7 linked regions of the Cricetulus griseus genome follow. The protein of the gene in region 1 interacts with the protein of each later gene in a pairwise test. Links are inferred from orthologs where the notes say so. Each region holds a gene or a part of one and is shown in the gene's direction. Other genes may lie near its edges.

Region 1 (4,039 bases):
ATTCAAACCTGGAGCTCAGCTACCCGCAGCTTGTAGCAATGTATTGCCTCGTTCCAGTTTGAGGAATGTGCCTCTATTTTTCTTTTAGTAAGGTCTAGTGTGAAGCAGAATGACCATAACTTCGTTGTTAATCTATCTGCCCTGACTTCATGGGAAAACCACTTAGGTATTCCGCCGCATCACTCCCGTAACATAGGAAGCTGAATCAGTTTGTAGTTGAAGTCATGTATTTGTTCTTACAGATCAGGGCATTTTAAAACCTGCGGGAGTAGAGATGGGTTTCTGAAGAACTGACAAATGAAGCTTGTCCAAGCAAACTTTACACCTCCCGACTCTCACATCCAGCTCTAGCCTCACACCCCCACCCCTTAATTTAAGCAGGTGAATATCTGGCAAATTCTAAGCCTGCCCAACTAAGAATGACTCATTAGGAAATCCTGATTCCTTACACTCGGAAACTACAAACGATCCGAGTGTATCAGAACCGCAAGATCTCGGGTTTCCCTTTGTGTTTCTCTCTATCACTCAGATCTGTGCCGTGCCCGCCTAGAGACGCCCTTCAGATCTCCTGGGGAATGACCCTGCAACGTCACAGCCTTCTGCAGCCAGGCGTTTAAAGATCAAAAATGCAGAATCATTTAAAACACCGGGTTTTAATAGGCACTTTCTCCTTCTTCCTCCCTGACCAGCGTGCGTTCCCATAAGGAATTCCAAGATGCCTGAGCGAACAGAGAATCACAGTACTTAGCTCAGAAGCCCTTGTTTCGGGTTTCTCTAGTTGTTTAAGTCCTTCCCCGAAATAGGTGGAGTGTGGGTGGGGCGGTAGGGCTCTCCCCCTGCCCGCTGCAGTGTATAGGTGTCCCGGTGCATCTAAAAGATCGTGAACAAAGCATGAGTTGCAAAGGCGGGGCTCGAAAAAAGATAAAAGGAAAGGAAAAGGTACGGCCTTAAGGAAAAGTCACGAACTCGGGAACCCTGCACGGCTGGGGCCACCCGAACAAGCGAGCAGGGATCCCGCGCTGTCCCCGCCCTCCGCCTCCCCGCCTGTGTGCGCACGAGGCTGCGGCACCTACGTCAGCAGCGCCCTGGCTTCCAGACCCTTCGGCTGCCGCCGTGACTGCCGCAGGCCCGTGCGACCCCTCCCTCGCGCCGTCTGCAGCGGGCCAATCCGCACCCTCGAAAGGCGGAGCCGACGCCTCCGGGCCCCGCCCCTGTTCCGCAGCCGGCCTTAAAAGACCGCGGCGCGCGCCCGGCTGCAAACAGCTGCGGTGGCCGCCGGAGTCTTAGTATGCAAAGTGCCATGTTCCTGGCTGTCCAGCACGACTGCGTACCCATGGACAAGAGCGCAGGCAACGGCCCCAAGGTCGAGGAGAAGCGGGAGAAAATGAAGCGGACGCTGTGAGTATGCCCTCTCTTCCTGAGAGCTCTTACCCCGCATGGCTTTGCTGCTCGGGACCGACCTTCCTTCCATCTCGGCTTTGACTTGAGCTAACTCCGGTCTGCACCTCTGCAGAGAAAGCGGGGGGGCGGGGGGAAGAAAGAAGGAAAAGTCAGCTTGCTAGATCTCGTGGTTGTGCTTTTTTCTGTGTGAGCGTAGAGTTTCAACTATGGGAAGTTGTTAGGAAGGTGGCGGCGGTAGCTGGGCTGAGAAGGCGATGGCTGGCTTTTTGTTCTGCATGTAAGGTGACATGAGTATTCTGCAGCTGAATAGGATCCGCAGCGCCCATACATTGCATTGTGAGGTCTGAGCTGCTTACACAGCTGCTGGGTAATGTTTGGGATGATTCCGAATGTATTCGCTTTAGATACGGTTTTAAATCATAAAATAGGTCTCATCCAGTCACGACTGTGGAATGAGTAATTTGCTCTGCAGTATCTGCTGCGGAGAAGCACTGTGGGAGGTCGCGGAGGGGGAGCTCGGGACACACACACACACACACACACACACACACACACACACACACACACTCACACACCACACACCACACACACACACACACCCCACACACACACACCACACACACACACCCCTCTATGCACCGCCTGTATCTTGGACCAGACCCTCCTGCCTCTAGCACAGAAAGGGAAGGAACATCAGCTGGCTCAACACACGGCAGTTCTCAATCATTAATTGTCTCCAAGTTGTAGTTAACCATGCAGAAAAACCGCTACCTTTTTCGTAGGTCAGAAATAACTTGTGAAAATTTTAAATATCCTAGCTGTGTTATGTAGTCCTATGCTGGGTTCAATCCATGAGGTGCTGGGTTTAAATATCCCACATATGGCATGGACTGTTCTTGCCTGTCTGGTTTGTTTGGTGACTGACCATATGCTACTGCAACTGGTGATAATTTCACTATTCAAGAATTGCAGCTTGAAGTATTTTTTTCCTCTCCTTTTTTCTTTTCTAGCTTGAAGGATTGGAAGACCCGTTTGAGCTACTTCTTGCAAAATTCCTCCACTCCTGGGAAACCCAAAACTGGCAAGAAAAGCAAACAGCAAACTTTTATCAAGTAAGTTGCAACTCCTGTACTTGCAGAACAGAATGTCTAGCCATTGAACAGGAGAGGGGAACTATTATGTGTGGTTTATATAGCTCATGTTCGGAACTTCTCTTGCAGGCCTTCTCCTGAGGAAGCGCTGCTCTGGGCAGAAGCATTCGATGAACTGCTGGCCAGTAAATGTAAGTTAACCTCTTGAATTTGATCTTTCACCAGCATCCCAAGAGCCTAGAAATGTTGTGTCTACACCACAAATGAGCAGCTAGCAGGAAGTGCATCAGACATTAGCACCATTTACTTCATAAAGCCTGCTTTTCTTTCCCCTCGTCCTCCAGTTTAATCATGGAAAAGCATGAGGTATTCACTTCAGGAATAAAGTTAGCCTAACTTGTGAAAGTTAGGAAGAAAAATTAGCCTAAAAATTAAAACGACTTACTCATAGTTAGGGTTGAGTCAGCTTTTCCATTGCATAGAATATTTTCAAAAGCCCTAGTTCCCAGAGAACTAATGGATGACTGTCCTCTAAATATTTATTTTGCATTGACGGTGAAGTTCAGTATATTTTGTTGTCGTCGTTGCAGAATGCAAAGTTAAGCATTTTGCCTGCTGGCATCTTAGTGCTTAAAGAGCTAAAGTGTGAGAATGACAGGTTTGAGTGAAATCTAGAAAGCTGATCGATCATTCTAGTACTAAAAGAACCATGTGTTATCTGGTCACTCAATTTACATTCTACATGCTTGTTTTCCTGTGCTTTCAGATGGGCTTGCTGCATTCAGGGCGTTTTTAAAATCTGAGTTCTGTGAAGAAAATATTGAATTCTGGTTGGCTTGTGAAGACTTCAAAAAAACCAAGTCACCCCAAAAACTGTCCTCCAAAGCAAGAAAAATATATACTGACTTCATAGAAAAGGAAGCTCCCAAAGAGGTAAGAAAACAAGTTATTGGTGTCAGCATAATTTGGACATCTTCAACCCCATAGTGAAGCACAAGAATTGGATACACCAGTTAAAGTGCCAGTGGGAAGAGCTGGGGCTCCCCACCCCAGCTATCCTAGCATTTCAGTTTTTCCAATCTGACAGTGAGAACTGATCACATATTACATCTTTTGTGTTTTGTTATTAAGCATTGATTTATAATGTTGGATACCAAATAAATCAAGCTTTGTTTTATTTTTGGTTTCAGATAAACATAGACTTTCAAACAAAAACGCTGATTGCCCAAAATATCCAAGAGGCTACAAGTGGCTGTTTTACAACAGCCCAGAAGAGGGTATACAGCTTGATGGAGAACAATTCTTACCCTCGCTTCTTGGAGTCAGAATTCTACCAGGACTTGTGTAAAAAGCCACAGATCACCACGGAGCCCCATGCTACATGAGGCCAGGAGCCCCCAACAGAGGACATTTCATTGTCTCCCAAGACGAAAAGGCTGTGACCTGCCAAAAGACTGACCTTGAATTCAGCCTGGGTGTTAGGAAACATCACTCAGAACTATTGATTCAAAGTTGGGTAGTGGATCAGAAAGCCAGCAACCTAGGAC
Region 2 (4,063 bases), on another chromosome or scaffold:
GGTAGGAGGGAGAAGGATGGAAGCCTTGTGCCAAAACAGGTTGGCCAGCTGGCAGGCAGGCGGGGCTTTGGTGGCCAGCAGCCTGGAGATGGGCTCAATTCTATCTCTGGGCCTTCCATCAATCTTGTGGTTGTCTTTCCTTTCTAAGTCTGCCCCCCATCTTCTTTCTTTCTTCCTCCCTCCTTTCCTCCTCCCTTTCAAACTCCATGTCTCGGTCTCTACCCTCCCCATATCTTAGTTTCATTCCAACCTCCCCACTCTCTGTTTCCTCCATTCCAGTTGCCGTCCCAAACGTTTGCTTTCCTTCTGTGTCCGCTCCCCGCTCCATTCAATCCTTTCTCCTCCCTGTGCCTCCACCTATCACTTTGGTGCCATCTGTCTGACTCCTCTCCCTGGAGTCAGTTGTGTCTCTCCGTGACCACCAGCCTCTCTCCCCTGGTTCTCCATCCCTTCTGGGTCCCTCTCCCAGACTATCCACGGCTAATGTGTCTAATTTTTCTGTCCTAGATTTATGTTTTGGATGTCCTAGAATTATCTTCCTTTTTTTGTCATCACACTACAGGCCTCAGTTTCCCATTTGAACTATGACCAGGGTCTTTTCCAGCTCCCTACCCGTCACCCCCCCCCACACACACACACACGCACCAGAGGCGTCCCACTCTCCCCAGCTGCTGACCCAACCTACTTCCCCAGAGGCAGCTGCATCTCAGGGCAAGGACTGTGGCTAGTGTGTGTCGAGGGCAGCGAGGGTGGGCCCATCTGGTCCACCCTCCTTTCACTCCTCCTGCCCTGCTTCCCTGCAGTGGCGGGTGGTCTGCAGGCCTGTTTCTCCTGCGTGCCTCTCTTCACATCCCCCCCCCCGCCCCAGCTGTTTCCCCTCTTCCTGGGCTTGCAGGGGGAAAAAACGGTCCAGTTCTATACCCTCCAGGGTTCTAGGGTATAATGGGGGCTTCTGGAGTTGTGAGTGGTGAGAGAAAGGAGCAGGGGGCTCGGGGAGCCACAGACCGGCACACTCTCGGTTCTTGGCTCAGCTCTGTAGGCCCCTGAATGGCTGGGATTTCCCTCTCTGGCCCCTGGGAATCTGGGCTCCAAGCAGCACATTCCAGCCGGCTCCAGCTCCTTTTCTGTTGTCACTTGACTCCGCTGGGCCCCAGCCCCGTGTCCCTCCTACTTCTCCAGCCCTGGTCTGGGGCGAGGTGGGCATCACCGACTAGGAATTTTCCCTGGGAGAGTGAAAAGGGGGCAGAGGCTTCAAGACTCTGGCTTCCTCCACATCTCCCATGGACCCTTCACTAGTCAGTGCGAGTCTAGGGCGTGCAATGTCCCAACGGGGTGTGAGGAGTTGAAGCTCCGCCTGTCCGGGGCTTCCCCGGAGCATCTCTCCTGGGAGGAGGGGCTGTGTGCCGTTGCAGGTGAGGTTACTGGGAAGCCTTGGCCCCACCTCCAGGCGGACTCCACACCCCGCCCAGTCTCTGCAGGGCCCAGATTTCCTATTGCTGTCTGCAGAGGGGTAGGTAATTGCGGGCGGGTGGGGGGGGGGGTCCCTAAGGGCTCGGTGGACAGGCTGGAGGCAATTCTTCCAGTGACCATGGGGGCTATTAGCAGGTCCTTCAGCAGCTGGAGCGTCCCTGGGTTTGTAAACTGGAGACCCAGCCTGCCTTGGCTTCTCCCTAGTGGCCGCTTATCTTCCTGGTAGCTTTTTCTGTTCTTGTCTGTTTTTTCTTTACACTCTTTGGAAATGCTTTTGGGTGTGAGTTTTGAGTCAGTTGGGAGGTGCAACAGGGTGGTGAGACCGGCGAGGTTGCTGGAGACTTTACTGTGACCTGACATTGTCCGGGGACTTGGCAGGTGTGGGGGTGTGGAGAGAGGTAGGGCTGACAGGTGGTGCTGAATGGGGACAGAACACCTCCCACACAAGCTCGGCGGTCGCCCCGCCCCCCCCCCGCCTCCACCATCTCTCCCTTCCGTGGCTTAGCAGCTCTGTTCGTTGTTTTCTTACGTCCCTGGGTCTTGCGTTCCCGTCTTTTTGGGCGGCTTGTGATTTCCAGGGCGCCTCTCTATCTTTCTCCTCCACCCCCACCGCGTCCTGGCTCCATTTTGCGTCTCTCCTTGCCAGAAACCAGATTCTGCGGCTCCCACCAGGGACTGAGCTGGCTGGGAACTGAAGAAGGCTTGCCTGAGGAGGACTCCAGAGCGAGTCTGGATGGAGCAGGGAGCCCAGGGGGACCCAGAGCTGGGAGTGTGGACCTCAGGGCTCCTGAGAGAAGAGAAGGGAGCTGCAGTTGGGGAGGGGTTCTAGAGGAAGGGGACAGAAAAAAGTAGAGAATAAAAGAGTGTGGCCCGTCCTCAGGCTCGGGAGTAATCTAGGTTGGGAGCCGGGGAGCGGGCCTGTGCCAAAATGTAGCAAAGTGGGGAGGAGTGAGAGCCAAGCGGGGCTGGCTAGACAGGTGAGCCCGGTTCCCACAGGCCTAGCTCTCGCTCCCGAGCTGGGCCTGTGGGAACCCGCTGCTTCCTGCGTGCCCTGGGGCTGCTCCTCCGTGCTTCTCTCCCTCTCTCCAGGACCCGAGCCCAGAAAAGGGGGAGGAGGGAACGCGCCATCTCCTCGCGGGGCCACCGCTTGGGGGTCCTGGGAGGGCTGCAACCGGTCCCCTACTGTACCGTAGCCTCGGGGCGGCGGGGGATGGGCGTGCGGATCACCTAGGGGAGGCTGGGGTAACATGCGGGGCGGGCTCCGCGCGCTAGGAGAGAAACGAGGGGCGGCGCGGGCGTGGGGCGCGGGCGCCGGGCGGGAGGACGGGCGGGGACAGGCGCGGGGAGGCGGCGCCTGGGGCGATCCGGCCCCGCGCTGGCTCCTCTCCCCGGAACAGGCCTCCGACAGCTGCTCGCGGGAGCCGCCTCCCGACACCCGAGCCCCGCCGGCGCCTGCGCTCCCCTCCCGCGTCCCGCCGCCGAGGAGGCCCCAAGCCGGGGCCGGACGCTTGAGTCGGCCCCGGAGAGCGATGAGAGGTAGGGACGAGGTGGGGAAGCACAGGAGGCAGGGGGCGCGGGTTGGGGAGACTCAGCTCTGTGCGCCGCCTTGGGGTTTTGATTCCCCATCTGAAACAGAAAGGGCCCTGACTTTCCGAAAAAGTATCTTCTCGTAGGGAAGGATCTGTCTTTTCCTGGGTGAGGGGAGAGCCGAGCCCCCAGAGGACAGGTGCGCTTATGTAGCCCACTGAGTCATCCTATCGGTGCTCCCTGGGCCGTGCCTACGAGCATGCTCTGTTAAGCTGCCCCGCCACAGGGAGCCAGCCTGACGCCCAACCTACCAGACCAGCCACGCTCGGTGGTTGCCGGGTTGTGCCAAGAGACAAGTCACCGCCCAATGAGCAACGCTCCTAGGGTCCCCTTCTGGCCTGGAATTCCTGCCCAGCACCTTCTCCCAGCCACGCCCGGCTGGCCTGGAACTGACTGGCTGAGAAGGATGGAGGTGTGTCCAGACCCCAGTGGCACCATAGGGACAGGTCACAGTAGAATGCGTGAGAAAGTGGAGAAATGGCCTTGCCCTTCTTGCTGCTCTCCCCACCCCAGTCCCACCTGTCCCCACCTGCTCTTGGCTTCCCTCTGGCTTAGTCACCCATGTGGGTTTGGGAGGGGCAGTTCTCTGGGGATCCTGCACCCCAGGGCCTGAGTGGGATTCACATTGCCTGCCATTTAGTATTAAACAGGTGTCTAGAGGTGGCAACTCACTAAATGCTGAGATCTAGCTTTATTTGTCACCTCAGGGTGTGTGACACACACCTGTAATCACACACCTGAAAGGTGGAGGCAGCAGGATCAAGGGTTAAAGGTCAGCCTCCCTTGGCATCATAGTGAGTTTGGAGACTTGAACTAGTTGAGACCTTGTCTCAAAAAATCGGCCATCCTGCTATAGAGGAACATGATTTTCATCCCAGCACTCAAGGAGAGGCAGGTGGCACCCCATGAGTTCAAGGCTGTTCTGGTCTATATAGCTAGTTCCAGGCCCACCCAGGCTACATAGTGAGACCAACAAAAATCCCTCCAACTAACCAACCCCTCCTCC
Region 3 (4,145 bases), on another chromosome or scaffold:
CCTGGGCAGCAGAAGGGTCCTAGTGGGATTGCATTGAGCTTCACTGCCTGGGGGTTAATGGGGCTTTAGTGGACGGAGGAAGGGCAGAAGATGGGCTGGTCAGCCCAGTTTTCATTCCAGGTGTTGAGGTCATTGAATTTTGCCCTCAATATGGTTTCCAGGAAAGAGGTATGCCTTTGGGGGAAAAAAAAAAGGTGGAGAGCCTCTTCTTGGCGTCTCCAGCCTCTGGCCACAGTAAAACCAGAGACACTTTTGGCTTGGACATTTCAAGCATCCCTAGCCTCTGGCAAGGATAAGGATCTGGACATGCCCCAGGACATTTTTGGCTTTTAGCCAAGAAAGACTTTTTTATTTGGGCTTTTTACCAAAACTAAACTGCCTAGCCAGCTTTCACCTGTTATCAGCAGTTGGGACAGCTTTCTTTCCTACCTTTCCCACAAGTTTCCTGAGTTCCTCGGCCATCCCACTCACCTGGAGTTCAGTAACCATACTTCCACTCCTGTCTTTAACTTGGAGACTACCAGCAGAGCCTTGACGCGTGGCTTTCTTATAGTCACAGCCTGGGTATAAAATACCATGATGTTGTGCTCGATTCGGCAGCACATATACTAAAATTGGAATGGTACAGAGATTTGAATGGCCCCTGCACAAGGATGACATGCAAATTCATGAAGCATTCCATATTTTAAAAAAGAATGATGTCATGGGGCATTCCTATTACTTGGTAGACATAAGGATTGGAGAGATCTGAGGGTGGCTGAAGGAGACCCTGGGGTGGGGCGATGCTATTCCTTGTCAGAACAAATAGGACTATTTTTTGTTGGCTAGCCTACCAATGGGGAAGGTTCCTACATGGGACTGATGGCCTGGCAGGAGTTTGGAATTTCATAACATGCCTTGGACAAGAGTTCAAGGTTTGTTTTTGTTTTGTTTTGTTTTTTTTACCAGGACCTTGGGCTTGGTAGGAAAGAGCTCTACCCTGGGCTACAGCCCCAGTCCAGTTCTAGTTTTAATTACCTTCCTTGGTCTGAGTATTCCTAAGGCTAAGCACTAAACCAGGGTGCTGCGAGCTTCATGAGGCCAGGAGTGCTCCATTGGGACGCCAGCCATTTCCAGGTCCCGGATTCCGCATGGCCTTTCCGATGAATGCAGTAGGCGATGTCACTTCTTCCCGGTGCAAGGTTCTCGCGGGTTCCCTGGAGAGCATCTCCGGTCCGGTGAAGAGATAACACAGACTATCGGCTTCTTCCGGAATCCAGCTGCGCGATATGGACCTAGGATAAGCAGTTTAGGGAGTCCCAGGACGAAGGGGTGGGGCCGGCGACGTCGCGGGGTGGGGGCGCGGCCGATGGGTCACGTGGCGAATCAGCCCAGTAGCGGGCGGAGCTGCAAGGGTACTTAGTGGTGCGCTCCAGAGGCCAGGAGCGGCTCGGTTCGGCTCGGCGGCTGCAGGCCCAGGCTGTAGCGCTGCGCTCGGTAAGTGTGCCCGGGGCGCTTTGGTTCCGCGACGGAAGTCACCTTGGCTGGGGACGGGGAACGGGCAGTGGCGAAAGGCCCCTCGCTCGCCCAAGGCGCAGGCGCGGTTATTCCTCGGCCCTGGATGCTACGCGCCGAGAATGGTCGCGGTCCGCGGGGAGAGGATTCCTGAGTCCGGCCGCTGCAGGCGAACAGCCCCGGCGGCCTGCACGCACTTAGGGCCGGGCCTGGGGACCTCGCGCGGGTCGGCGTCCCTCCGGTGGCCTTGGCGCACTCCAAAGGCGGAGCTGGGGACTTCGGGGAGCTCTGAGGGAGGAGCCTGCAGGGAAGGGTTCGGCCCTGGCTCTCCTTCCAGCTTGCAAGCTCCGGGTCTTAGTGGTGCTCAGAGCGAGTATCGACCTGCATCTAGTGAAGGTTTGTGTCTTAGTCTAAAGAATCTGCCCCGGCAACTTACCACACATAAGCCCACGCAGTCCCTGGCACCCTAAAAGACCGGTCCTATTGAAAACAGAAACAGAAAACAGTGGGTGGCTGGGATGGAACCTGCACGAAGAGTTAAACCGAGAAACAGGAAGAGAAGCGAGTGCAGTAGAGGATAGGGGTGCTCGGGGCTGCACTCCCTTTCTCTGCATGGGGGTGGCCAAGACGATGGGAATGTGGAGGGGGGGAGGAACATGCAGGACAAGCTCCTTCAGTGAGGGTCTTGCTGGCCCGGAAGCGATGTGGGGTCGGTCTGCACCGGCAGGACTTGCGGACCAGGAGACGGGTGATTTGGTCTTGGTCCTCTAGGGGTCTGGAGTAAAGGACTAAGCCCACCCTCACGTTACTTCCGTCTGACCAGATTCCCTCACCCGTTTGCAAGGGAAATAGATTGTGCGGTTCAAAAGGAAGCTTAACACTTGGTGTCCGAGTGCCGAGGGTTAGGGTTATCAGGCCAGATTCAGAAGGGTAGCATGTGGAGAACGTTGCTGAAGGTGCTCTCATCCTCCCTCGAAGCCGTTCGGGGGGAGAATTGCTTCTCATAGGTTCTGGCCATGGTGACCTAAAACTCCAGAGTTCCCAGAGACACACCAGAGCCAGCACTTGGAAGGCTGAAGCAGGAGGATCCCTGTGCATTGGAAACTAGCCTGGGCTACATAATAAATTCCAGGGCAGTCTGACTATAGAGTGAGACTGTTTGCCCTCCCAACTTTTTCTCCCAAAAAAGGACATGCTGGGAAAAAGGCAGCATGGAGGAAAATGACCTCTGCTCCTTTAAAAGCACGTGAGCCAGGCCTGTAGGGATCAACTGCTAGGGGCTAGGGGTGGAAGGTGGGCTAGTGTTTGTGCTTCACCAGCCCAGGTGGCTTCAGAGGCTTCCAGCTCAAGTTAACACTATTTCAGATTAGTCAGGCAGAGGAGGTAGGAGCTCTTGGCTCCAGGCTGGAACTGCCCGGTGAAGTGCTGATTCAGCAGTCCAGGTTGAGACTCTCTGTGGTATGGGTGGAAACCTTTAGATGTCAGAGCCTCAGGTTGGCCGACTGACTTTTTGATGGTCTGTTGTAAGGAAAATATTAGGTATGTGTGAGGTTGAACTATATGCAATGGAACTTTTGAAAGTCAGAAAGGAAACCAGAGACTTGCATGTGAATGATATGATTGATGAGAGATGGTGGGCTAGCAAAGGTGAGGTGTACAAAAGTCTGTGTTGTCTTTGCTTGGCTAGTAGTTTATATCCCCAGTCCATCATCTCAGTGCTCTCTAGGAGCTGCCTAAGAAAGGGTGGAGTCCTTTTCATTGCTGTAGTTTATATTCCACCCTACTTTGAGCATGGTGGAAGTTTGGCTTGGTTGTATGCTGGAACTGTCTGGTTTATCTGTGGTGCTGAAATCCAACCCTGGGCCTTGTGCGTGCTAATCATACACTCTGCCCCTAGACTATACTGTACCCAGCCAGCTTTAGCCAGTCTCTTCCCTCCTCCATCCCTCTGAGCTTTCAAAACAGGTCGCTTGAAATGGGCAGTCCTGCCTCCGCCCTCCCACATGCTAGGGTTACAGACATGAGCTATCACTCCTGGGTTAGTACTTTTTTTTTTTTTTTTTTTTTTTTTTTTTAAATAGGTCTCATCACTCACTGTGTAGTCCTGGCGAGCTTGGAACTGGGTATGTAGACCAGGATGGCTCAAGCATGAAGGAATGCACAAACTCACAGATAAACCTGCCTGTGCCTCACCAGTGCTGGGATTAAAGGTGTAGGCCACCATTCCCAGAAATCCCTTCATTTTTAGCTTCAAGTCTGAACTCTCCTTTCTGCAGACCTGACCAGGCTCAGGTTTGGGATAGAGGTGTGTGGCTCCACTCTGACAGGACATGTTTCACTGTGATCAGTTTGGCTCCTAGACTTGCTTTGTCTTTCACAAGGACTTTAGCAACTAACTGTTCTTTCCTTATTCTTTCCTACGTGTGCTTGAAATACAATGTATCGATCTGTAAGTGTTGTTTTATGTAACTTAATTATACTATGTGTCTTGTTCACCCAGTTGATGAGATTTGCTGATGTTGATGCCTGCAGATTTAATGTTTAATTTGTTGGAGAGGAGTGGCAGTGTGACAAGAGGTCTCGTGTAGCCTAGCTTAAACTCACCAGGTAGGTGAGGATTAGTTTGAACTCTTGATACTCCTGCCTACCTC
Region 4 (4,036 bases), on another chromosome or scaffold:
GAGGAATGAAAGAACCAGTCCCACCAAGTTGTCCTCTGACCCTGCCTCTCATACACAATATTAATAATATTTAAAATGAAAGCACTCGCTGGGCGGTGGTGGTGCACGCCTTTGATCCCAACACTCGAGAGGCAGAGGCCGAGGCTCTCTGTGAGTTCGAGACCAACCTGATCTACAAGAGCTAATTCCAGAACAGGATCCAAAGCCACAGAGAAACCCTGTCTCGGAAAACAACAATAACAAAAAATGAAAGCACTCACTCTTACCATAATGCACATAGTTCTGTACTTAGAATGTATTAGGCACCACTGGGGTTGCAGCTAATAATTTTTATTATGTGTTAAACTTCGAATATTGTATGTGGCAGATGCTGTTCTAAAAGCTGTGCTCATGAGTGTACATAGTCTTCACCAAAAGCATGTTTCTTCTCTCCATTTTACAGATGAAGAAACCGAGATTCAGAGAGGTTCAGACTCGTGCCCAAGGTCACACAGCTAGTAAGTGTCATAGCTGGAATTCAAACTAAGAGTGTGTGTTTGACATCCTTGGTCCTAAATTCCAGCCAACAGTGATTCCAGAATATCTGGTGGGCTGGGAGGTCATGGGCAATTGGGGAGCTCCTAGAAGCTTGACAGGTGGGAGGGTAGAAGACTTCAGAATAACAGCAGGGGTGATTTGCCAATTACTATGGGAATTTTGTAATCAGATCTGGGTATTTTGGCCCAGATCTGTAATCCTAGCATTTAAAAGGCAGACACAGGAGGATACTGAATTCAAAGCCAACCAGGGATACAGTGATACTTTGTCTCAGAAGAAGAAAGGCCAGGTGGTGTCCCAGGCCTTTAATCCTAGCTCTCCCGAGGCAGAGGCAGGCTGATCTGTGTGAGTTTGATGCTAACCTGGTTTACAGAGTGAGTTCAGGTCAGCCCAGGCTATATAGTGAGACCTTGTCTCAAAAAAAAAAAAGAAGAAAGAAAGAAAGAGAAAGAAAGAAAGAAAGAAAGAAAGAAAGAAAGAAAGAAAGAAAGAAAGAAAGGAAAGAAGGAAAAGATGGCCGTTGGTGCCAGCTGTTTTGAAGTCTGTTGTCCAGAGCTCGTTCACTGGGAGTTAAAGGATCCAAATTGACTTTCAGCAGCACATCCCTGGGTTGCAGGGGTGGGGACCAAGCCATAATAGTTGACTATTTTCCTCCCCTCCAGGTCTCAACTCCTGCTTCTCCTGCCTCCCCGCTGCACCATGGCTCCAGGCCCCTTCTCCTCTGGGCTCTTCTCGCCACCACCTGCTGCTCTCCCTTTTTTGCTGCTGCTCTGGGCAGGGGCATCTCGCGGCCAACCCTGCCCTGGTCGCTGCATCTGCCAGAACGTGGCACCTACGCTGACCATGCTGTGTGCCAAGACCGGCCTGCTCTTCGTGCCGCCCGCCATCGACAGGCGTGTGGTCGAGCTGCGGCTCACCGACAACTTCATTGCCGCTGTGCGTCGTCGAGACTTCGCCAACATGACCAGCCTGGTCCACCTCACCCTGTCTCGCAACACTATTGGTCAGGTGGCACCCGGCGCCTTTGCTGACCTCCGTGCTCTCCGGGCCCTGCACCTCGATAGCAACCGCCTGGCAGAGGTGCGTGGGGACCAGCTCCGGGGCTTGGGTAACCTCCGCCACTTGATCCTCGGCAACAATCAGATCCGGAAGGTGGAGTCGGCAGCTTTTGACGCCTTTCTGTCCACTGTGGAGGACCTGGATCTGTCCTACAACAACCTGGAGGCACTGCCGTGGGAGGCGGTGGGTCAGATGGTCAATCTGAACACCCTCACGCTCGACCACAACCTCATTGATCACATTGCCGAGGGCACCTTCGTGCAGCTGCATAAACTTGTACGCTTAGACATGACCTCTAACCGTCTGCATAAACTGCCCCCCGACGGGCTCTTCCTGAGGTCCCAGGGTGGGGGGCCCAAGCCGCCCACCCCCCTGACCGTCAGCTTTGGTGGCAATCCGCTGCACTGCAACTGCGAGCTGCTCTGGCTACGGCGTCTGACCAGGGAGGATGACTTGGAGACATGCGCCACTCCTGAGCATCTCACTGACCGCTACTTCTGGTCCATCCCGGAGGAGGAATTTCTATGTGAGCCCCCGCTCATCACGCGGCAGGCAGGGGGCAAGGCCCTGGTAGTGGAGGGCCAGGCTGTCAGTCTGCGCTGCCGGGCGGTGGGTGACCCTGAGCCCGTGGTGCACTGGGTGGCACCTGATGGGCGGCTGCTGGGGAACTCCAGCCGGACCCGGGTCCGTGGGGACGGAACGCTGGATGTGACCATCACCACCCTAAGGGACAGCGGTACCTTCACCTGCATAGCCTCCAATGCTGCGGGGGAAGCCACTGCACCGGTGGAGGTTTGCGTGGTACCTCTGCCACTCATGGCGCCCCCGCCGGCTGCTCCGCCGCCTCTCACTGAGCCTGGTTCTTCCGACATCGCCACACCAGGCAGACCTGGTGCCAACGACTCAGCCACTGAACGCCGGCTTGTGGCTGCCGAACTCACGTCCAGCTCTGTGCTCATTCGCTGGCCGGCCCAGAGGCCAGTGCCTGGCATCCGCATGTACCAAGTGCAATACAACAGCTCTGCGGATGACTCTCTAGTCTACAGGTGAGTGCGCTACTGAAGCCCCAGGAACTCCTCTCCAGCCCTAGCATCCTGCCCTCTGTCCCATCTGCTCGTCCATCCCCTTGACCTTGCTTAGATGCGGCTTTGGATAGGCCTGTGGATACCTCCTTCTTTTCTGCTCTGCTGTGTTTTTCTTGAGCTTAGAAGTTTGTGCAACACAACATGAGCCAGTGAAGGGCTGGGCAATGGAGTTATAAAACTGAGTAGGGCCTGGTGCTTCAGGCTTGAGATCCTAGCCTTTGGGAAGCCGAGGCAGGAGGATTGCAAGGACAAGGCTGGCCTGGACAGTTTGGAGACACTCTGTCTCAAAATTTAGAAAGTGGAAAAAAGAGGGCTGGAGGTGGATCCCAGTTATAGTAAGATAGAGCCCCTGCCTATAACCCTCCAGTGAGGAGCTGGGGGCATGGCTCAGTGGTAGTGCCCCTGCCTAGAATTCCCCAGTGAGGAGCTGGAGGTGTGGCTCAGTGGTAGAGCCCCTGCCTAGAATCCCCCAGTGAGGGGCTGGGGGTGTGGCTCAGTGGTGGAGCCCCTGCCTAGGATCCCCCAGTGAGGGGCTGGGGGCGTGGCTCAGTGGTAGAGCCCCTGCCTAGAATCCCCCAGTGAGGGGCTGGGGGGCGTGGCTCTGTGGTAGAGTCCCTGCCTAGAATCCCCCAGTGAGGGGCTGGGGGGCGTGGCTCTGTGGTAGAGTACTTGCTAAGCTGAGGGAGGCACTGAGTTCCATTCCCAGTCCCAAACAACAAATACCCCACAGGGTTCATGGTTAAACGCATCACTTGCACTCCAGAGGCCTCTGTTCATGAATCCCATCAATTAAACATTGTGGCACATAAAACACATGTGTTTATAGTTACATTTCTATTTATGTCAATACTACTATTCCAATTGGATAGATTATAGAAACAAAGCAAAAAAGCATGGGAAAAATAGAAATGTAATGTTCTAGTTTGATTTCTATCACTGTGATAAACACTGTGACCAAGCCATGCCACGCCTTTAATCCCAGCACTTAGGAGGCAGAGGCAGGTAGATGCCTGAGTTTGAGGCCAGCCTGGTCTATGGAGGGAGTTTCAGACCCAGCCAGAGTTACACAGAGAAACTTTGTCCCAAAGCAAGAACAGCAAAACAAAACAAAAAACACTATGACCACCAAAACCAAAACCAAACAAAAAGCCCCACTCTGACCAAAAGCAATTTGGGGAGGAAAGGGTTTATTTTATACCTCTAAGGTCACAGACCATCAATGAAGGAAGTCAGATAAGGAATTCAAGGCAGGAACCAGGATGAAGGGACTGAAACAGAGGCCATGGAATAGTGTTGCTTCCTGGCTTCCTCTCCATGGTGTGTTTTGTCTGCTTTCTTACATAACTCAGGACCAC
Region 5 (3,500 bases), on another chromosome or scaffold:
TGGGTGGGGGCCTGGGCAGAGCAGAGTGTCCTGGGAGAGCAGCTCCCTGCCCCCACTCTGGACAGCACACAATGGCCGCTTTCTCCCCCATGACCTTTCCTTTCTGTGGCCTGAGCTGTGTGTGCTTTCTCCTCCCCTTCTCCAGAGGGGCTTGGGGTGGTAGCATCTCTACTACCCTTGAGGACCAGGAGCTCCTACCCACTTGTCCTCACTGGAGAATGGCTTCCCAGGCTGGTCCTGAGACTGCAGGGGCAGAGGGCAGCAAGTTTAGGCTTGGCCTGGTCTGGCATTGAAGTACCTGCCTCCAGCATCCCAGCAGCTGTGCTTATTAGCTGTGTGACCTTGAGCAAGCCCTTTGACCTCTCTGAGCCACTGAATCCTCATCAGTAGAGCAAGATAGCACTTGTGAAAGGAATTGTGAGCAAAATACTTGGCCAGTAAATAGTGAAACCTCAGCCAAGGTTAGTTCCATTGCTCAGTCTGTCCTTAAGGCTGCAGCCCACAGTTGATGGTGGCATGAAGCTGGAAACTCCAACTGTGTCAGAGTAGGGGTAGGAACCAGTCTGTCGGATGGGGTCCAACAGGAACATACCCAGGACTGTGTGATACACGGCGTCAGGGTCATATCCCATAGGAGACTTCTGCCTCCCTGTGGAATGGCTAGGCAGCAGTCTTGATTCCTGAGGAGAGGCTGTGAAACTGGTAGCAGTGGCTGTGAGACAGGACACTGTACCCACTGAGAATCCTTGGGGACCATGCATACCCAGGAAGGTGCAAGGACTTACAGGAAAGGGCTCGTAGCCAGCTTCTGGGCTCCTGAGCAGATTGAGTGAATGTACCTGAAGCACTAAGCATATGCCAGGCCAGAGCAGCTGCTTAGGAAGTAGTGCCTGTCCTGTGGCTTCAGCTGACTTTCCTACTCTGCTCCCCCAGATCCTGGCTGGGCATCTATCAGCAGAGGTGTGCTGGTCTGTGACGAGTGCTGCAGTGTGCATCGGAGCCTGGGACGACACATCTCCATTGTCAAGCACCTTCGCCACAGCGCCTGGCCTCCTACACTGCTACAGGTAGGGGATTAAACCAGAGACTCCTTCCCAGTGTGCAGTGCCCAGGTATCCCCAACCCTCTTCCTGTCAGACAGTAGCCACTTAAAGTAGTATGACCCTCAACCTTTCCACTCACCCCTTCCCCTGTAGTGTCTATTCATTAGCTTGGATGCTTATCTTAGACAGTGCATTGAGCAAGTTGCTGAAACTCTCTGAACCTTGGCAAACCCACCAGGGTAAGCCAGCATGAAGTGCTAAACACAGGACACATGACTTTGGGTGGCCTGACTGGATAGAGGGCAGCCATAGCAGGCACACAGTAGGACCTTTGGTGGTATCTCCAGCTGCAGCAGGCACTCTGGGAATGTCTCCCCTAGTGCCCAGCACAGAGTGGGCACTCTTTTGCTTGGCATCTCTTCCCCACAGATGGTGCACACGCTTGCCAGCAACGGGGCCAACTCCATCTGGGAGCACTCCCTGCTGGACCCTGCACAAGTGCAAAGTGGCCGGCGTAAAGCCAACCCCCAAGACAAAGTCCAGTGAGTGGGGCTGCAGGGGTGGTGGGCAGGGCCGTGTTTCTGGGACAGGGGCCTGAATGGTGGTTGTCCTAAGCTCCGCTCCCATGGCCTCCTGTGTGTTCCATGCAGCCCCATCAAATCAGAGTTCATCAGGGCCAAGTACCAAATGCTGGCGTTTGTGCACAAGCTTCCCTGCCGCGATGATGATGGCGTCACTGCCAAAGACCTCAGCAAGGTGTGAGGAGCCCCTCAACAGATGGGTGGGCCACCCCTCTTTCCATATTCAAGTCCCAGAGGCAACCCAGGGCTGGGGAAAAAAGTAGGTGCAGACACCCTGGGGCTAGGGAAGTTTGCTCTGTCATGCAGCTGGTGGCTAAGATACCTCCACTCTCACGTGGACAGACATAGGGCCTCCCGTCTACGACTTGAAGCTAGGAAAACTTGGGGTACTCGCTTAGCTGTTCGGAGCCTTTATTTCCTCATCAGTGAAATGGGATAGTAGTAACACACCTGCCTCTAGTTTCTGTGTGTTCCAAGCAGAGCACATGAAGGGTAGTGACTGGGAGTAACTGTTAATGACATTACCCTCTAGCCTGCCTGACATGGCCCAGTTTTGTCGAGGCCCCTTGGAGCTGGTAGGAGTACCAGGAACAGCCAGGTGTGTGGGGGAGGTTCCTCGGACACTCACAAGTATCCATCACACTCACTCCCACTTAACCACACACTGCTCCTTGCAGCAACTGCACTCCAGTGTGCGAACAGGCAACTTGGAGACATGTCTTCGCCTGCTTTCCCTGGGTGCCCAGGCCAACTTCTTTCACCCAGAAAAGGGCACTACACCTCTACATGTGGCTGCCAAGGCGGGGCAGACACTGCAGGCTGAACTGCTGGTGGTGTATGGGGCTGACCCCGGCTCCCCTGATGTCAATGGCCGCACGCCAATCGACTATGCCAGGTGAGAATCAGTTAAAGGGTGAGGCTTAGGTGGAGAGGAATGGACTGTTGCTGTAGGGCTGAGCCATGTCCCTCCCCACAGGCAGGCGGGGCACCATGAACTGGCAGAAAGGCTAGTTGAGTGCCAGTATGAGCTCACTGACCGGTTGGCCTTCTACCTCTGTGGACGCAAGCCCGGTGAGCAGAGAATGAGTTGGGCCTGACTAGGCCAGGCAGGTGGGACCTAGGCACACCCAGGAGCAGGTGCCATAGTGACAAAGCCAGCTGGGGAACTGTGTTGCTAGGCAACTGGCTCCTGTGAAATTGCTGCAGGCTCTGGGTTGCTGCAAGCATGTTGGGGCCAAGGAGTGGGGGTGGGCCTGACTTGCAGCCAGTTTTCAATGCTCTTGGGGTATCCTGCCCTCCTCCATTTCCTCTGACACTTCCAGGTGTCAAACCCTGCTCATGGTAGTGAGGTAAGCTCCTGGGTGCTGGCGCCACCTGGCATCAGTGACTTGGCATTTTTATTTTTGTTCAGATCACAAGAATGGGCATTACATCATCCCACAGATGGCTGACAGGTGAGTGCCCACCTGATGCCCCTTTCAGCTATTAGATGTCAAGGTGGCTTGACCCAGAGCCCTACATCTTCCCAGGCTTCAGTGGCTTGGCACCCCACCCTATACACATAGTGACTAGCAACACAGAAATTCATAGCCTAGTTGCCACCTACTGTATACCCCCAAGGCAGGTGAGAAATGTCGGTTCAACACACACCAGTGCACCTGAGCCTTGTGGTTACTAAGTATTGGAGGGCGGGGGTTGGTACAAGGAAAGAAGGCCTGACTAGGTTGGACCACTGCGTTTGGACTTCTGTGTCACTTTGGATAAAGGATTCCCTCTGCAGGGAGAAGATAGCTCCGGGGAACTGGCTGACTTTGGGACTACTAGCCAGGCCCCCAGTGTGCTCCCAACTGGATGGGAATCCCAGGCAGGGTAGTAA
Region 6 (4,182 bases), on another chromosome or scaffold:
CAGGCATGTGCTGCCAACCACTGTAGGCAGACTTTTCTTTCCTACTTGCCAGTTCCCAAATAACTAACATAGAAACTCAATATTAACTATAAATGCTCAGCCGATAGCTCAGGCTTATTACTAACTAACTCTTACAATTTAAATTAACCCATTTTTATCAATTTACATTCTGCCATGTGGCATTACCTCTCTTTCATCTTGTACCTCCTGTTTTCTCTGTGTCTCACTGGCGACACCTCTGACTCTGCCCTTCTTCTTCCCAATGTCCTTACTCTGGTTTTCCTGCCTAACCTTATCCTGTCTAGCTATTGGCCAGTCTAGCTTCTTTATTAAACCAATCACAGTTTAATTTACATAGAGCACAGAAGGATTATTCCATAGAAAACTGCCTGGCTAAATAATTTTTTTTTGCATTTAAAAAAAAATTCAAGGAGGGTGGTGCATGCCTTTAATCCAGCACTTTGGTGACAGAGGCAGGTGGATCTCAGTGACTTTGAGGCCAGCCTGGTATACAAAGTAAGTTCCAGGACAGCCAGGACTGTTACTCAGAGAAACCCTGCCTTGAAAAACCATTAAAACCAAACCAAACCAACCAACCAACCAACCAAACAAACAAACAAACAAAACAAAACAAAACAAAAAACAAAACCAAGGGCTAGAGAGATGGCTCAGCGGTTAAAGAGCACTGGCTGCTCTTCCAGAGGTCCTGAGTTCAACTCCCAGCAACTAACCATATGATGGCTGACAACCATTTATAATGAGATCTGGTGCCCTCTTTTGGCCTGCAGGCATACATGCAGGCAGAACACTGTAGAGTTAATAAACAAATCTTTAAAAAAAGAAACTAAACGAAACAAAACAATACAAAACAAAAAATCCAAGGGGAAAAAGAATCACAGTTTGTCTTAGTTACTTTTCTAACTATATTCCTGCAATGAGACCCACGATTAAGGCAACTTTTAGAAGAGTTCCAGAAGGTTGGAGTCCATGACCATCATGGTGGAGCAGCAGTTAAGGCAGAGCATTTGCCTAGCCACGAGTGAAATCCTGGGTTCCACCCCCTAGTGCCCTAGTAGGAAGGGAACTGACAGGCACACATAATTTGTATACAATTTTGGGGGTATGCAGACCCTCTTTAGTTTGTCCTCCGAATGTTCAGGACTTATTGTTCGACGCCCGCATTTACCTAGGTGAATTCTGAGGTACAGAGTGGGGAAAGGGCTGTTCAAGGGAACGGAGCCAGTTAACTGCAGAGGTCCGGGAGCGCAGAGATGTGGACACAGATTTTTCGTCTAAGGATTTGGAGGACTCCCATCTGGCTGTGCTTGAAAGGAAGGCTGGCGGGGCGAAGGCGTGGTTTTCTCTAGCTCCGCCACCTTGCACTGGGCTGGGGCGTGGCCTTCCTCCGACCTGCTCCGGTCCAACATGGCTCCGCGGTTGTGCATCATCTCTGCATCGGCACGGCGGCTGCTGGGGAAGCCGGGACCCCGCGCTGGGGACCTCGCTGCTGCGGCTGCTGTGCGGTGAGAGGCCGACGGGGCCGACCGCGTGTCCGGAACAGGGGCGGGGAGGGGGCTGGGATGAAGAGCAGGCTCTTGGGTTTGGAATTCAGGGGTTAGTGGAGGAGCTGCCAGGATGTAGGCCTGAGGAGTCTGAGAAAGGATGAGGGAGGTGAAAAGATCTGGGTAGGATTTTGTTTTTTAAACAGGCTCACACTGTAAGTGATTCAAACTCGGAATTCCCTTTCTTCGACCTCCTAGATATTACTGGCGTGCATACCCATGCCTTGCTGGGCAGGTTCTTTGTCCTATTTGGGACCTGGGTCTGGGCTGAGAATAAAAAATGAGGTGAGTGGGAGGGACAGGTTTTAAGCACTGGAGCGGGGGAGAAGGCAGAGGACAGAGGTAGCTGCCCTCAGGTCTGGCCTTTGTGATTTAGCGCGCACTGGGGGCTTTCAAGGCCAGGCAGCTCCTCCCTCAGGAAGTTCTAGGAGGAAGGAGAGAAAGACTGGGGTACAGAGGGAATTCCCAAGGTGATTCCTCACCCTGCACTGTATTGTGGGGTCAACAGAAGGGGTGAGAGTTGTTCAAGGTCAGCCTCCAAGCCATGTGGAGGCTGCTCTGGATGTAGGACCCAGGTCTCATGATGCACCTTGCACTTTGCACCACCGCTGGTGGCCTCCTAGGAGAGAGGCTCAGCTCTGGCTGTGGAGGGCTTGGCTTCCCCTGACTGGCTCTGGGCTGCTCCTCCCTCCTGCAGTGCCTTGTGCTACCCCTGTCTCTGCACTGGTCACCCTGAGCACTTCTGACCCTGTGCTAACCTGTCCTTCCCTAGTCGTTCTCCTGTTTGCACAGCCCCACACCCTCACTGGTTTGAGAACATTGTAAGTTCAAAGAGCATTTGCTAAAGAAGTGAGACCACCTGTTCTCACACCTGTGGAAAGGAATCTGTACTCCTCCTGCCTCTGCCCAGGAGTGAAGCCTTAGGGTCCGTTTAGATCACTGTGAACTGGGACTTTTGGAAAGCTGAGATATCGGAGTTGGACATATGCCCTTCACCTCCATGCTTGATAAAGAGGGAGAAGCTGACACTGGGAAATGAGCCTGGAGTGTACCTTTTAAACAGCCTTTTGTGGAGGGATGGCCTTGGGTAGGAGGAAAGAGGATGTGTCAGATAGGATTGTTCTGTGTTGCTAGGAAAAGAATCCAGGAGCTCAGGTATGCTAGGCTAGTGCTCTTCCTACCAATTAAACCATAATACCTCCAGACCTCATTGGATTGTTGAGGATTGAAGAAGCCATGCTTGTGTTACCAATTGCCCAAGACTATGCCTCAAGCAGTTTCTGTCATTGTGAGAGTCGAAAGGGTATCCAGGAAAATAATATTTTATTACATTAAAAAATTAGTTTGAGCCGGGCAGTGGTGGTGCATGCCTTTAATTCCAGCACTGGGGCAGCAGAGGCAGGTGGATCTCTGAGTTGGAGGCCAGCCCGGTTTATGGACAGTTAGGACTACATAGAGAGACCACGTCGCTCAAAAATAAACAAAAAATTATTTGGGAGGTTAGAGAGATGACTCTACAATGGTTGCTCTTTCTGAGCACTTGGGTCACAGCTCACACACATGACCACTTACAGTTGTCTGCAACTCTACTTCCAGGGGACCTGATGCCCTCTTCTGGCCTTCACAGGTGCCAGGTGTGCAAGTGGTGCTTGCGCACACACACACACACACACACACACACACACACAGGCAAAACACCCACACATAACATAATTTTAAAATTATTTTGTGTGCATATGCAAATGAACACTGGTATTCGAGTGCGTGTGTGTGTGTGTGTGTGTGTGTGTGTGTGTGTGTGTGTGTGTGTGTGTCCATGTGCCCATACTATGACACGTATGGAGATCACTGTGTGGCTTCCAGGCATCTAACTCAGGTTGTCAGTCTTGGTAGCAGGTGCCTTTACATCTCACTAAATCAAGATCATCTATGTTTTTTCTTTAAGGAGATTTACTTTTATTTATGTTTGTGTAGAAGGGAGAGAGAATGAAAATGTGCACATATATGCAGGTGCCCACTGAGGCCAGAGAAAGGAGTTAAATCCTTTGGCAGTTGTGAGCTGCTCTACTGATATGGTCTTGGAAACCAAACTTGGGCCCTCTACAAGAACAGCAAGTTCTCTTTTTTATTATTATTTTTCATATATTTGAGTTACAAACAAGATTGAATTACATGACAATCCCAGTTCCCTTCTCCCTCCCTTCCTCTTCTACAACCCCCCCAACTAAAATCCTTCCTATAATATGTCCTTTCTTCTAATCTTCACCTGACTCCACCTTTCTGCTTCCTCATGACCTCTGCATCCTTCCTCTTCTTCCCTTCTCATTCTCGTAGCTCCCTCCCCCCTCTTCCCATGTTCAGTGCGTTCTCTGGACACACCAAGTGTGTCCAGCCTACAGATCATCTCCCCCTCCTTCCCATTGCTTTGGAGGCTGTCCTGGAACTCTGTAGACTGCCTCTGCCTCCAGAGTGCTGGGATTAAAGGCGTGGGCCACCACTGCCTGGCACAAGATCATCTTTTAGGAGACCATGTTTTCCAGATGAATGAAGATACTAAGGCTGAGAAAGGAACAGTCAGTGGGTGGTAGGATCTTTTATGTGGCAAACACCCAGAGGTCAC
Region 7 (4,217 bases), on another chromosome or scaffold:
TTAGCCTCAAAACTGGCTTTGACACAATGACAAGACTTTATGTCTAACCCAGGTTAAGGGTTAGAACTAGGTTTCCAATTTAGTTATATTAACATAGTTTCTGAGGAAATAGGGACTAAAGATCTTTCTTAGCCAGGATTTGATAGCACTTGCATACAGGCAGGCTTCGAGTTGTTGGGAAAAAATCGCTTCAATTTGGGTTTCAGAGTGTGGCAGGGACTTGTCTATTTTGAGAGTACTTTACTTGTAAAGAATGCTGAACCATGAGAACACAGGGGAGGGAGAGGCAGTGAAGTAGGACCTCGAGACCCAGCATAGTTTACAGAATGAGCCCTTTGTTATATCAAACTAATAACAAAGTTGGGGATCCAGGCAGAAGGAAGCAGAGGGAGGGAATGAATGATAAAGGCAATCTTCCAGGAGGCTCTGACTGAACACAGATGCCACACTTCAATGTTTCCAATGCTTAAATCTCCTGTACTGTTAATCCATTTTTTTTTTCCAAGGCAGGGTTTCTCTGTGTAGCCCTGGTGTCCTAGAACTATCTCTGTAGACCAGCCTGGCCTAGACCTCAGAGATCCACCTGCCTCTGCCTCCAGAGTGCAGGGATTAAAGGCGTGTGCCACCACCAACTGGCACAGTTAATTTTTGTGTTTGGAATTTCCCCTCAAACAGGGTGGGGGCTGCCAGACTTGGCCAATGAGAGCAGACTCCACCCAGCCAGCATTGCAGTTTAGAAAGGGTGGCTTTTCTCAGAGAGCACAAAATGATCCTTCCTTCTCAGTTCTCCATAAACACTCCTGGACTGTTCCTTTGTTTCCATAAAACTAAAACAAGGTGGGGCTGGCAGAGTTTAGTGGTTCCTACATTTCAGCTTCCAGAAATGGCGCTGTCCAAGCTGAGCATGTTTGAAACTAGCCTGTAATTCTCAGCCACTGTGAGGCTGAGTCAAGACTATAAAATCAAGGCCCACCTAGATTACAAAGTGGGTTCATGGGTTAAAAAAAATAAGCGGACCTGAGCTGTATCTAAAGAGATTGTGAAATCTTAGGGTTAATAACACCAGTGCTCCTCCGCATTTTAATTTTTTTGTTGTTGTTTGTTTTTGAGACAGGGTCTCACTGTGTAACCCTAGCTGGCCTGGAACCCACAGAGATACACCTGCCTTTTGCCTCCGGAGTGCTGAGAGGAAAGATGAAAGGCCTTATTAAGGAGTGGGAGGAATGGGGGTATAGGAAGATAGGAAGGCGTGAAACGAGAGAGCGGGAGAGACAGACAGACTGACTCAGAGAGACAGACACACACCACACAGACAGACAGACTCAGAGAGACAGACACACACCAGACAGACAGACAGACAGACAGACAGACAGACAGACAGACAGACAGACAGACAGACAGACCTGCTCCGTGCTGTCAAAATTGAATACGGCGCCCCCTGATGATGCAGTTGGTGGCGCGCCGGAAGTACGAGCCATAGGCTAGTCTGCGATGGCGGCCGCCTCTTCGCGAGGGAACCATGTGTGGGTCGGCACCGATACTGGGATCCTAAAAGGTGAGTGAGTTGTTCTCCGAAAGTGTAGGGACTGCGTGTCACCCCAGCGTGACTGACGTCCTCCTCCATTAGGGGTGAACCTTCAGCGGAGACATGCAACAAACTTCACGCCATCCGGACAGCCGCGGCGGGAGGAGGCGGTGAATGCTCTGTGCTGGCGCGCGGGTGACGAGACCCAGGTGAGTGGCCCCCGGCCCGAGCTAGGAAACGGGCCCTGCAGCCTTGCTCTTCTCCTATCCTTTCCTTCTCGCTGGCAGATCTTGGTGGGCTGCGCGGACATGACCGTGAGGCACTTTAACACCGAGGAGGGTACATTCCAGAGCCAGAGACACTGCCCAGGCGGGGAGGGCACGTTCCGAGGTCTCGCCCAGGCCGATGGGTAAGGACTATTCTAGCTCAGGTCACAGGAAGATCGTTGAGGCTCCCTTGGGCGAACTGAATACTGAAGTTAAGCCCTTAGATGATTAGCCTCTGGGAAGACTGATTGCAAACAGTGTTCTTGCTTTCCTTCATTCCTATAACATGCATTTATCTGGAAGTTTCTGAATGCCAGGTATCAAGGAAGAGTACAAGGATTTGGGTAAAATATGGGTCTTCATAGAGTTTGCTTCCAAGAGTTTTGTTGTTTTTTTGGGGGGAGGTGTGGGTCGGTTTTCGAGACACGGTTTCTCTGTGGCTTTGGAGGCTGTCCTGGAACTAGCTCTTGTAGACCAGGCTGGTCTCGAACTCACAGAGATCCACCTGCCTCTGCCTCCCGAGTGCTGGGATTAAAGGCATGTACCACCACCGCTCGGCGCTGGCTCCTTTATAACGTTCTGTGCAAGTAATTCCACACTTTTGAGCATGCTTTTAAGTAGTGGTTGACAAAAGTGTAGCTTCTAAAGTAATGGCTCAGAAGGAAGATTCACCTAGATTAGTAACCTAGGAGCAGCTTCTCTAGATGGAAGACGAGAGAAGGCTGCTTTGGTAATTCAACAAGTGAACCCAGAAAGGATATGCAGCAGATGGAGTTGTTTTTTTTTTTTTTTCCCCAGGACAGGGTTTCTCTGTGTAGCTTTTGGAGCCTATCCTGGCACTCGCTCTGTAGACCAGGCTGGCCTTGAACTCACAGAGATCCGCCGGCCTCTGCCTCCCAAGTGCTGGGATTAAAGGTGTGCGCCACCAATGCCCGGCTGAGGATGGAGTTTTGAACTGGGTCTTGAAGTACAGGAATAATCTTGATAGAGAAGAGATAAAGATATTCTAAAAAGCAGATACTAACTGAGCAGAGACTAAGGGTTAAAAGACTAAAAAGGCTTTGTACATAGGACAAATAGCGTTTGGAAGTTGAAGTCAAGGAAACATACATGTAAGTTTGATTTGCATTTGGTTAGGATTAAATGGAAAGGGCTTTTGTACCAAGTTGAGATTTTATTTCATAGTTAATGGAGAGTATATTGGGTTTTGAAAGGGAAGTGCCATGGACTGAGCGAACTCTGAGCCTGTAGGAGTAAGGAGTATTAAAAATGCTTTTTGGCACAGCACAGGCAATATAGAGCTTAAATCTAGATAGGCAGATGTGAGGGAGAACATAGGTTCAGGCTATCCAGAGCCTGGGAAAAGGTTTAGGTTTCTTGGCAAGAGGTTTATGTCATTTTGGTTTGGGTTTGTTTTTTCTGTTTGTTTGTTTCAAGGTAGCCTTGAACTCAATATGTAGCTCAGTCTGACTTTGAATTCCTGGTCCCCACTTTACTTCCATGCCCTTTACTGGTAGGTATGGACCACTAAACCTGGTTTACACATTTTAAAATCCCTCCTGTGATTGCAGAACCCTTATCACATGTGTGGATTCTGGGATTCTTAGAGTCTGGTGTGACAATGACAAGGAAGCATCATCTGACCCAGTAAGGTTCACTGCCCTAGTGGTTGGAGATGGTGGGAGCCAGGGTAGGGGTCTAATGGGGAATTTGGTAGGTGGAAGGTTAAGGACTCTTGGACTGACTCATCTCTGATTATTTACAGCTCTTGGAACTGAAGGTGGGTCCTGGGGTGTGTAGGATGCGCCAAGACCCAGCACATAGCCATGTGGTTGCCACATGTGGGAAAGAGAATGCTTTGAAAGTATGGGACCTACAGAAGCCTGAGCAGCCTGTGTTCAGGGCAAAGAATGTAAGTGATAAGGGGTAGGGGGATGCTTTGTCTGAGGTTGGGAGAAGTGGAGGCCACTGACTGGTTGTGGCCTAGATGGGCTTTCGGGATGTGGAGGACTGAAGGAGCAGGTCAAGCTTACCAACATCTTGTATCCCATATGTACCTCCACACCAGGTGAGGAATGATTGGCTGGATCTACGGGTTCCTATTTGGGACCAGGATATACAGTTCCTCCCTGGGTCACAGAAGCTTGTCACATGCACAGGGTACCACCAGGTGAGGCTCTTTTGCTAACTTACTCCTGGATTGAAACAGCTTCCTAGGGAAAACTGTGTCACCTGGCAGAATGGGTTGGTTCTCTGGTGTTTCAACATCATCTCCCCTGGGCTCTCAAAGGAGCTCATACTTCCTCAGCTGGTCAGGACCATGGCTGTGCCAATGACATTCCCTTTACTGCATTCTAGGATAGAATTTCCTGGACTATGATTTTCTATTTCTCCTACCTAGAAGGTAAAACAAAGGGAGCATTCCT

What was found.
Region 2: the proteins of Rgs2 (region 1) and Ddr1 interact in a two-hybrid assay, tested with the Homo sapiens proteins (2 studies listed by BioGRID and IntAct). The link is inferred for Cricetulus griseus from reciprocal best matches to the Homo sapiens genes RGS2 and DDR1.
Region 3: the proteins of Rgs2 (region 1) and Ctsb interact in a two-hybrid assay, tested with the Homo sapiens proteins (2 studies listed by BioGRID and IntAct). The link is inferred for Cricetulus griseus from reciprocal best matches to the Homo sapiens genes RGS2 and CTSB.
Region 4: the proteins of Rgs2 (region 1) and Lrfn1 interact in a two-hybrid assay, tested with the Homo sapiens proteins (2 studies listed by BioGRID and IntAct). The link is inferred for Cricetulus griseus from reciprocal best matches to the Homo sapiens genes RGS2 and LRFN1.
Region 5: the proteins of Rgs2 (region 1) and Git1 interact in a two-hybrid assay, tested with the Homo sapiens proteins (2 studies listed by BioGRID and IntAct). The link is inferred for Cricetulus griseus from reciprocal best matches to the Homo sapiens genes RGS2 and GIT1.
Region 6: the proteins of Rgs2 (region 1) and Nipsnap1 interact in a two-hybrid assay, tested with the Homo sapiens proteins (2 studies listed by BioGRID and IntAct). The link is inferred for Cricetulus griseus from reciprocal best matches to the Homo sapiens genes RGS2 and NIPSNAP1.
Region 7: the proteins of Rgs2 (region 1) and Wdr74 interact in a two-hybrid assay, tested with the Homo sapiens proteins (2 studies listed by BioGRID and IntAct). The link is inferred for Cricetulus griseus from reciprocal best matches to the Homo sapiens genes RGS2 and WDR74.

The regions. Positions count from the first base shown.
Region 1 is NC_048598.1:46,447,474-46,451,512, forward strand, and holds the start of Rgs2 (regulator of G-protein signaling 2), read left to right. Parts: upstream 1-1,239; 5' UTR 1,240-1,288; coding exon 1,289-1,398; intron 1,399-2,411; coding exon 2,412-2,513; intron 2,514-2,621; coding exon 2,622-2,683; intron 2,684-3,258; coding exon 3,259-3,425; intron 3,426-3,682; coding exon 3,683-3,877; 3' UTR 3,878-4,039. UniProt on the Homo sapiens protein: Regulates G protein-coupled receptor signaling cascades. Inhibits signal transduction by increasing the GTPase activity of G protein alpha subunits, thereby driving them into their inactive GDP-bound form.
Region 2 is NW_023276806.1:229,602,478-229,606,540, reverse strand, and holds the start of Ddr1 (epithelial discoidin domain-containing receptor 1), read left to right. Parts: upstream 1-1,263; 5' UTR 1,264-1,412; exon of another isoform or gene 1,413-1,510; intron 1,511-2,838; exon of another isoform or gene 2,839-3,006; intron 3,007-4,063. UniProt on the Homo sapiens protein: Tyrosine kinase that functions as a cell surface receptor for fibrillar collagen and regulates cell attachment to the extracellular matrix, remodeling of the extracellular matrix, cell migration, differentiation, survival and cell proliferation.
Region 3 is NW_023276807.1:218,157,996-218,162,140, forward strand, and holds the start of Ctsb (cathepsin B), read left to right. Parts: upstream 1-1,345; 5' UTR 1,346-1,476; intron 1,477-4,145. UniProt on the Homo sapiens protein: Thiol protease which is believed to participate in intracellular degradation and turnover of proteins. Cleaves matrix extracellular phosphoglycoprotein MEPE. Involved in the solubilization of cross-linked TG/thyroglobulin in the thyroid follicle lumen.
Region 4 is NC_048602.1:7,422,623-7,426,658, reverse strand, and holds the start of Lrfn1 (leucine-rich repeat and fibronectin type III domain-containing protein 1), read left to right. Parts: upstream 1-1,236; coding exon 1,237-2,642; intron 2,643-4,036. UniProt on the Homo sapiens protein: Promotes neurite outgrowth in hippocampal neurons. Involved in the regulation and maintenance of excitatory synapses. Induces the clustering of excitatory postsynaptic proteins, including DLG4, DLGAP1, GRIA1 and GRIN1.
Region 5 is NC_048600.1:90,901,566-90,905,065, forward strand, and holds part of Git1 (ARF GTPase-activating protein GIT1), read left to right. Parts: intron 1-933; coding exon 934-1,067; intron 1,068-1,472; coding exon 1,473-1,585; intron 1,586-1,693; coding exon 1,694-1,799; intron 1,800-2,301; coding exon 2,302-2,519; intron 2,520-2,600; coding exon 2,601-2,695; intron 2,696-3,035; coding exon 3,036-3,078; intron 3,079-3,500. UniProt on the Homo sapiens protein: GTPase-activating protein for ADP ribosylation factor family members, including ARF1.
Region 6 is NW_023276807.1:100,030,907-100,035,088, reverse strand, and holds the start of Nipsnap1 (protein NipSnap homolog 1), read left to right. Parts: upstream 1-1,382; 5' UTR 1,383-1,425; coding exon 1,426-1,523; intron 1,524-4,182.
Region 7 is NC_048596.1:51,361,998-51,366,214, reverse strand, and holds the start of Wdr74 (WD repeat-containing protein 74), read left to right. Parts: upstream 1-1,417; 5' UTR 1,418-1,491; coding exon 1,492-1,555; intron 1,556-1,627; coding exon 1,628-1,734; intron 1,735-1,812; coding exon 1,813-1,934; intron 1,935-3,362; coding exon 3,363-3,438; intron 3,439-3,556; coding exon 3,557-3,703; intron 3,704-3,859; coding exon 3,860-3,961; intron 3,962-4,217. UniProt on the Homo sapiens protein: Regulatory protein of the MTREX-exosome complex involved in the synthesis of the 60S ribosomal subunit. Participates in an early cleavage of the pre-rRNA processing pathway in cooperation with NVL.